2 linked regions of the Arabidopsis thaliana genome follow. The protein of the gene in region 2 interacts with the protein of the main gene of each other region in a pairwise test. Each region holds a gene or a part of one and is shown on either strand. Other genes may lie near its edges.

The links.
Region 1: the proteins of AT3G66654 (region 2) and RPH1 interact in a protein complementation assay, tested with the Arabidopsis thaliana proteins (one large-scale study listed by BioGRID).

Annotation. Positions count from the first base shown.
Region 1 is NC_003071.7:19,660,958-19,664,437, reverse strand, and holds RPH1 (resistance to phytophthora 1), read right to left. Parts: upstream 1,622-3,480; 5' UTR 1,576-1,621; coding exon 1,390-1,575; intron 1,244-1,389; coding exon 1,033-1,243; intron 951-1,032; coding exon 769-950; intron 692-768; coding exon 665-691; 3' UTR 536-664; downstream 1-535. Other genes in the region: AT2G48075 (uncharacterized protein), read left to right, coding at 1-295; AT2G48060 (piezo-type mechanosensitive ion channel component), read left to right, coding at 2,052-2,100, 2,423-2,503, 2,762-2,921, 3,007-3,164, 3,279-3,435. UniProt on the Arabidopsis thaliana protein: Plays a positive role in the immune response to the oomycetes P.brassicae, including induced oxidative burst (e.g. H(2)O(2)) and enhanced expression of defense-related genes.
Region 2 is NC_003074.8:2,085,988-2,091,100, reverse strand, and holds AT3G66654 (Cyclophilin-like peptidyl-prolyl cis-trans isomerase family protein), read right to left. Parts: upstream 3,186-5,113; 5' UTR 2,918-3,185; exon of another isoform or gene 2,453-2,917; 5' UTR 2,408-2,452; coding exon 2,256-2,407; intron 2,140-2,255; coding exon 2,094-2,139; intron 1,970-2,093; coding exon 1,919-1,969; intron 1,746-1,918; coding exon 1,660-1,745; intron 1,363-1,659; coding exon 1,225-1,362; intron 1,128-1,224; coding exon 977-1,127; intron 891-976; coding exon 804-890; 3' UTR 560-803; downstream 1-559. Other genes in the region: AT3G66652 (fip1 motif-containing protein), read right to left, coding at 3,545-3,892, 4,138-5,113. UniProt on the Arabidopsis thaliana protein: PPIases accelerate the folding of proteins. It catalyzes the cis-trans isomerization of proline imidic peptide bonds in oligopeptides.

The sequences.
Region 1 (3,480 bases), on a different chromosome or scaffold from region 2:
GCAATTAGAAGACTCGGAGGATAACAATTCCCCTGCCTCGTCAAGTCCAGAATCAGAGAGAGAGACAATGATTACACTAGTTAATGGTAGTAACGGCCCAAAGAAGAGGTTACAGGAGAACGGGGAAAAGAGCATGCTGGGTGAGCCCAGCCCTAAGCAACAAATCACTCAGCCTGAAGCAGGGAAACCACCACAGCCTCATAGACGCCTGGGGCCCCTACTAAATGATATAAATAAGAAATCAGATGCTTTTATCGAAAGTACACTCGAGAAGATGAGGAAAGGCTTAGCCTAGAACTAAACACATGAGCCTCCTTCTTCTCTCGCTTTCTCTGTCGAATAGAAGAACCAACAGACACTGGGATGCAAGAATTATCTATATACTCAATTCTTTTACTTTGTTTAAATTTACCAGCTGCATTCTTGATAACAAAACGTATATGTACTCCCACTTGTATTTTGAACAATAATTCATCTCAGAACTTTAAGATTTACAAGAAATATTCCTTAAGGGGCTAGTTCATATATCATTCTAGAGCAATGTTCACATTCATTTGCCTTAAACCCACGTACCTAACACGATAAGCTGAATGAAGTACCATTCTAAGGAAGAAAAGACAAAGAATCTTCATGCTCTAATCCCATCATGATTCACGAGTAGTCCCTACTCTGTTCTTTCCAGCCATCCAAGCTGAAGTAAGAGGCAAAAAGTGAAAAAAATAATCTGAGCAAGCACATATAACTATATAAGCGCCCCTCAATAATTACCATTCGACATACCTTCCAGGCATACATAGCAAAGAAGGCAACCGTGTCAGCAGACCAGACAAGAGCAAATGATTTCCAAAAGAAGGGAATAGCAACATTGAGCAAGGGGACGATGAGAAAGAGGTAGTTAAGAGCCTCTTTCTCTTTACTTGGACAGTCTCGTGCCCGAAGAGAAGGAATAGCTGGAAAGAAAGTAAAGGATTAGGGGCAAAAATGCAGCCTTGGAATAAATAAAGTTAGAAGAAAGTAGAGAAGGAGACATACTGAACATCCAAATGGACCACATGCCCATCAACCTCCATAAATCAGGTTCGCTGGAGGGAAAGAGGAGGTTGAAAGAAAGGACACCTCCGAGGAACATCGATGCATAGCCTTGAACCTCAAAAACTTTGTAAAGAGTAGTTCCAGGGAGAGCAGGGTTTTTACTGGCGGTGGAAGCTCTAGGGGCAAAGGTTGCAGCAGTCTTGTTAACAACCTGCTTGAATTGAAAAGTCATAAGCTTGAGCAACTCTTTCAACAGGTTCAAGCACTAGAGACCAATCTAACATGGTGCATTTTCATTTTCATGTCTTCCTATGGTTTCAACAGAAAAATCGTAAATGATATAGAAAAAAGGCGGACCTTTTTCAAGTCTTTACCGAGAGCAGAGGATGAGGAAGGGAGAGGAGATTCCGGCGGGTCGTCCTTGGGTTCTAATCCGTCAGAGGTGGCGAAAATACGGAAGGTGGATCTTCTTCTATGGCGAAAGCCATAAGTGAGAGCTATGGAAGAGGAGACCCCATGGGTGCTGCAGAGAGACCAACTCATTCTCTCCTCCAATAATCGCGATAAGGAAGAAGAAACTTGTTGGCTTTATTGAACCGGTCCAATTCTCAACCGAACTCCGGTATTCCAAATTAAAAGCCAGCAATCAATAATTGAATCTCGAGCCCACGACGGTTTGATTGGTTTAGCCATTTCTCGGCGCTAAATATAATTTATTAAAATGATGATTATTGCGAGAAGAAAAGATCTTTCTTTGATTTTTGCTTGTGGATTTGGATTTCCAGTTTCCAATTCTCTCAAATTTGCAATCCACCTTCAAATTCACACACATCTTCAACAGCTACCTTTTCGGGAACTTGCTAGAATTCGTGAGAATTGGAAATTTTTATCCTCCGTTTTAGTCTCCGGCGGGCTGATTTCGTTGGCCTTTTGGAAGAAATTGAGGTCGGAGCTAGAGAGGGGATCTATTGAATTCGATGAGAATTGGGATATGGTGATCGTTAAGACAAAAGTTTCCAATGGCGAGTTTTTTGGTGGGCTTCTTGTTGCCTTCGCTTCTTCTGGCAGGTTGGTTTCTTTCTCTATCTTCTTGCTTGCAATAATAATAATAAAAAAATCCTTACTTTGCTAGTCCTCTTCAATCAACAGAGTCCTCCTCTTTGTCTCATGGGATATCTTGAGCTTCACTCATTTACTCCTTAACATTGTACCTACTCTATTAAGGTTCCTTTATTAAGTTTTACTAGTTTAAACGACCCTGGTGTTTTTATGTCAAAACATTGGTATCATATCTCTTGTTATTGCTATCTCCATTCTCTACCACACCGTAGCTTGTACTTTTTTCGCTTGAGCTTCTATTTTCCTAATATATTTTTCTCTTCTCTCACAGCTGCACTTATTAACTGGAGTGTCATATCCTTTCTTGATTTGATAGCTTTCCTCCTCGTTCACTATATTGCACCTGAAATTGGTAAGCCTGTTTTCCCTCTAATCAAAAGAAATACCCCAATGTTTCTGCTGTAGTACATGTTTCTTGGAATCTTTGATTTGGGGTTTAGGTGTGAAAGGATTCATCTAGTTTATGCCCAACATCTACATTAGCCTGGAGAAACAGAAAAAAAAAAAAGAGAGTCTATTATTCTCAGTTTTCGTCGCTTTTTTCAGTTACGGTTGATTAGCTGATGTTTACTTTCTCAAACTTACTTTGGTTCTTGCTTTATTTTGCCAGGATACCGTTTTCAGAGGAGGCATTGGCTATTATGGCCCATTTTCATCTTTTCCTTTGCAGTATTTCTTGCTCAAGTGGTCTACCTTGTCATTTGGGCTGCTCTAGGTCAAGACTGGGATACACCAGATACTGGCTGGATGAGAGTTATTGGCTTTATGATGTAAGAGTACTCTCATCATTTCATTCATCTTCCTGCCTTACAAATATTTACTTGTTAGTTGATACTCTCGTCTTTGCTTCTGCAGATTAAAGTCTTGGAGAAACCCCACCGTTATGTATTTCCTGGCTTTACAACTACTAACATCATTGGTTGCTTTAGCTGACATATACAGTAGTAGATTCGGCTTCGCTAGATGGCGGGACACATGGTGGTCTCACTTCTCAGGAATTTTCGAACACCTAGGTTTGTAATTAATGTACTAGGCCCATACGGCTTGTCCAAATACTTACTGTAACGTTTTCTCATCATGTGTTCATCTGGTCTTGGTTTGACGTTATCTCCTCCTTTATTACTCAGGAAGTCATCTTAGGGTTGCCTCCTGCTTGTTGTTACCAGCAGTTCAATTGGCAGTGGGAATCTGCAATCCATCATGGGTTTCTTTGCCATTTTTTATTGGAAGCTGTGCCGGTCTTGTGGACTGGTCCTTGACAAGCAATGTTTCAGGACTTTTCAGGTGGATAGATTATTGATTATTACGCAAAGTTAGCACTTCCAAACC
Region 2 (5,113 bases):
CCAAATATTACTATGAAGATTTTCTCTTTTCAAAAACAATGAATTATAACAATATCTCCTACTCTACAAAATTGATAATGATTACGATATGAAATTTTAAAGCGTTATTTGTTTTTTTTTCTCTTATATTATTATAGATTTTGTCTACACACTCTAGATATTTATCTTTAATTAGAAAAAAATACATAAGAGTACACCAACTAATTAACATATTTATAAATGTGTTTTTAACATTTTTAAGTTTTAGTCAAAATAGTATCAAAATACATAATTTGATGTATGTCCTATATATCTTATTCCAAATTATTAAATATTACCTAAAACAAAAATACAGTATTTTTGTAATTGTATTCTATGAATAATTTAAGAATTCCTTAAGAATTGTTTAAGAATTATTTTAGAGTTTTTAAAAGAAATCTTGTAGAGATTTTTAAGAATTCTTAAAGGATTTGTTTCTGGTTTTTCAGATTGTTCTCCATATCTTCTCATATAAATTTTAAAAGACCTCTCTTTTTCTCTAATAGTTTTATGGTACTTAACGGGTATAATACAGAAGTTTTTCTATCATAACAGGATAAAATTCTCTAAAATCAGTTCATGTATTTGCTCAAGTATCAGAAGCATAATTAAACAAAGATTCTATTTCCTCGAGAAAAATCAAATAAAATTACAAAACAACAAGAAACTGTAAAATAGAAAGAAAGAAAAAACCTCAAAAGAGGATTTATACAAAAGAGCGAGTATGAAGAAGGATTTGGCGTGAGCCTCATTTACAGAGGAAGCAAGGAAGAGAAATTTTCATTTCATGTCTCTAGTTTCAGTACAACACCAGTGATCCCTATTGGCGATTTCGGTTGGAAATGCTCATCCGTATCCACTTCTTCGATCTCCTGTAATAATATGATTTAATCTTTTAACACATGAAACTATTAAACAAACCATTCAAGCTGATAGACTGTGCTTAGTTGGATCAAACCTGTACTACATCCTCTCCCTTAAGGACTCTTCCAAACACTATAAGTTGATCATTCAGATCCGGGATTGGGGCCGTTGTGATCAGAAGCTCAAAATCCTTGTTGTTCCCTTTGTTTTTTGGTGTTCCCAACATGAATGCCTCATGTTTTGGGCTGTAACAGAACATATGTAGTTTTTTATTTTTTAAAACCAGCGAGAGATGATAAACATTGACACTTAAAAGCCAAAAGCAGAGCAAGCAAGTTATACCCAATGTGAAGGCGACCTCTGAGCTTTCCTTTAGCTGTCCATTCTTCTACAGGTATAGAGCTCGGTGAGTGACCAGCTTGTACCAAGTAGTTCTTTATAACCCGCTGAAACGGCATTCCCTTGAAGTGATCTTTTTGACTGCAACAATACTCAATGTTCAACTTCTACTATTATATTAAGCTACAATATCGTCACAGACTGATTCAGCCCATTTCTCTTTAATGAGGTTTCATGTTCCAAACAAAAATTCCAAGAAGAGTACAAGAGGACTTAAGGATCAAAATCAGTCAATCAAGAAACTAAAGCTACTTGAATCCTATCAAGCTAGAAGTAATACTCCTATTTAAGAACAAGTCATGACCTAGCTTAATCAAATTACTCTACTGTTCTTTTTCTATCTAACTTAAAGGAAAACAAACGAATTCCAATACTAACCATAGATCTAGAAACTTGTCCACAACTTCAGGGGAACCTTCTTTGAAGAGTTCGACAGTTATAAGTCCTTTTGATGTGTTTATATCCTACATGAGATAGGAAAATAGAAGCAAGATATCATTAAAATCAATATTCAGATAAGACACATCACATTTTTTTTACTTCAAAAACTGATGAACAGAACATAATACCATGATGAGAAATAAGAACAAGGATTAAAACAAGAAACTTAAGCAAGCAAACAGGGAGATTAACTTACAGCAAAACCAGGAAGATCGTAAGTTTTTTGCCCTGACGCAGTATTAGTGTCCTGAAGCAGAAACCAAAGCCAGATCACATATGGTAAATACCCTAAACTCTAAACCTAAGTGCTCGGAAGTTCATCAGGATCAAAACTCAAAAGCTATACATTAAAAAATCTCTCAAGAAAATACCTCAAATCTCTGACTCCGAGTTTCATGTTCAATTGTGTTTCTTGACCTAGGAGATATAACCAATGATATCCTTTTTAGTTTATAGATAATCACATAAAGTAAAAGGAGAATCTACTATAACAGAAGTAATGAAAAAGGAACAATTCAAAGATGAAAACAAACCTTTGGGACCAATGGCGATAGGTTGTGACCAACGATAATATGACTACAGCAACTACAAGATTACAGACAATAATAGTGGAAATACTTATGCGACTTGGACCCTTCTTCTTCTTGCTTTGATTTAGAAGAGCCTGCGGTTTTATCTTCGCCATTGCACCTTAGTTTCGCAGAAAGCAAACGAGGGATACAACTTGTCTCTGCAAACCATAAATCAACAGTAAGTGACAAGCAATCCAGAAAACAAGTATACACTACACAAAAACTCCAAATTCGTATCTGTAAGACTATAATTCAATTTCAAGTTGGTAAAATCAAAACTGCAATAAGATTAAGTTGTTACCCAACTGAAGAAACCCTGATATCACGTATTGACCAGATTAAAAATCTAGCATATTTGAATGAATAAACGCATGTGAAAATATCACAAGGGTTCATACATAGCTTGACCGGTAACTTCCGATACACCAGATCCAGTACTTTTCCAATTATCGATCAAATTGAAATAAATTGAACAAAAGTGGATATGAGAAACGGAGCAGCTTATCATGTTCCAATCAAATAATAAACAGATCTTTCTTTCTATAGAAATCCAAAGACCTGAAAGTAAAATCAAATGAATTCCAAGGACTTTGATTGCTTCATTGGGTTCTCGAAAAACGTACCTGGAAGTTAGAGAGAAGAGAGGAATCGTGGAGATTGGTCGTTGCGTCGATGGAAACTGGTTTGAATTCTCTGCTCTCTTTTCTCTTTTGCAGAGACGCTTCAGATCAGCCGCGTGTTTATCCGACGGCTACGAGTCCACCTCACCAATATCCGACGAATATTATTCCACAAACAAAAATACAAAAGTTGATCATTTTTGAAAAATCGTATAGTTCGGTCTGGTTTTCTCATGAAATTATCTGGTTATCTATTTGACCCAAGAAAATGATTCTAAATTCAAAAGAAAGTAATTTTACTATGGTCTAGTGGTTATCACGTTAATCATACGGTTTCCGCCCTAATTGTCACTGGTTTGATCCTTCGCTGCATCATTTGATTTTGCATTACACATACTAAACTGTAAATATAAATAAGCATTGGTAAAAAAGTCAAATTTTCTACGTAAACACTTACAAAAGGGAAAAAAAAAATGCACAAGCAAGATCACTTAAAAAAACCCAGGTCACAGTCAATTGTTCGGTTTTGTGATTTTCTTAGCCACTTTTTAATTGATCGGTTTAGATATAGCCTACCATCAATAAACCGTTATTGTGTTAACCTGAAACAAGCCATCCAATATGATCTTTTTAACTTGCACACCATCTCCTCTTTCTAACTGGCCTCTGTTGATTAGTAACATCGGCTTTAGCTCTCAGTTCAGTTTGAGATTTGAATGTCGCTTCTACCGCCAATTTGGTTCCCTTGAACCTCTCCCTCCGTTTCTCCATCTTTTTCAGACTCTCTTGTATACGTTCATTGTCTATTTCAACACCTTTCACTTCTTCTATTATCTCGCCTTCTTCTTTGTCATTTATATCTCGATTCTGCATAGCTTTCTCTTCGCTTTTGCCCATTAACTTTCTTGGTTTCTGAACATCTTGTTGCTCGATTGTATCTCCGCCATTGGAGAATCTTTTTTTTGATTGGTTAGAGACCTGAAACACACACACAAAATATCTATCACATGAGAAGGGTCTTGTTCTTCATTGTACACTAACTGATGTCTAAATATACGGATGTGAGCAACATAAAACCTAAGTATAGAAGACAGACCATATAAAGTGATAAAACAGTCAGAAATAACACAAAGAAAATCCAGGGATATAAATAACTGAAAGGCGTTTATACTTCATTCAAATATAGGTTTAAAAGCATGTAGATTTAGTTTCCCAATCTTTACCTTTCCTTGCCTACCAGCTAAGTCAACATGATCCTGACGCTTGATGAAAGCATGCCCATCTCCTCTCAGCTTCTTGGATCTGTGATGTCTTTCATCATTTTCATGAATATGGCTCTGTAAATATCCAAACCTTTGTTTGGTCGCCATCCGATTATGTGTCGGTACTCTTATGTCGCGGACAAATATCTCATCAGTATATGATGGATGCTCAGAATTAGAAACTTCTCTCATTGAACATTGCATGTCATCTGCCATATTATATCTTCCTCTATCAGGACCAACCCAATCAGCATCATACTGTAGTCTATCTTTTACGCTCACATTATGGCTACGACCAAGATTCTGCGTCCAGCCATCTCTCGGTGCAGCCTTATGAAAATGGTTATTCTGGCTGTCATATGCTTCAGGTGTTCTGAAGTCTCTGGTATCATCTCTCCGGAAATCACCTTTTGCTTCTTTGGTATACCAAGAATCTCTCAAAGATAAAGACGGTGAGGACCAACCATCTTGGATTCTATACTTATAACCATCTTCCTCTGAGACAAATCTATCAAGATGCCAATCATGAATGTAATGATGTCTTTTCTCTATTTCAGAGAATTCCTCATGTCTTTTATACCCTTGATATTCTCTCATTTCCACTTCAGCAAAAGAACGCATCTCCCTGTACGCCAGCTCAAATGGAATTCTACTTTCTACCCTGTGAACTCCATCTTCATATCTATCACGATGCAAATTATAATCGTATCCACCCCTTCTTCTGCAATAAAGATCATTCTCTGGACTGTGCTTGAGGTTGTGTATTGCATGTGCAGACGAGTTCTCTGACCGGTACCTATAATCCATGTCAGTAATCGGTATACAGTCCTCATAATAAGGTTCTCTTAGCCAATCACACCCATTTCTTTCTTTGTAGTTTTCATATGCTCGGATAGGACTTCTTTCATGAACATATTTTCTTTCACGATGATGCCAA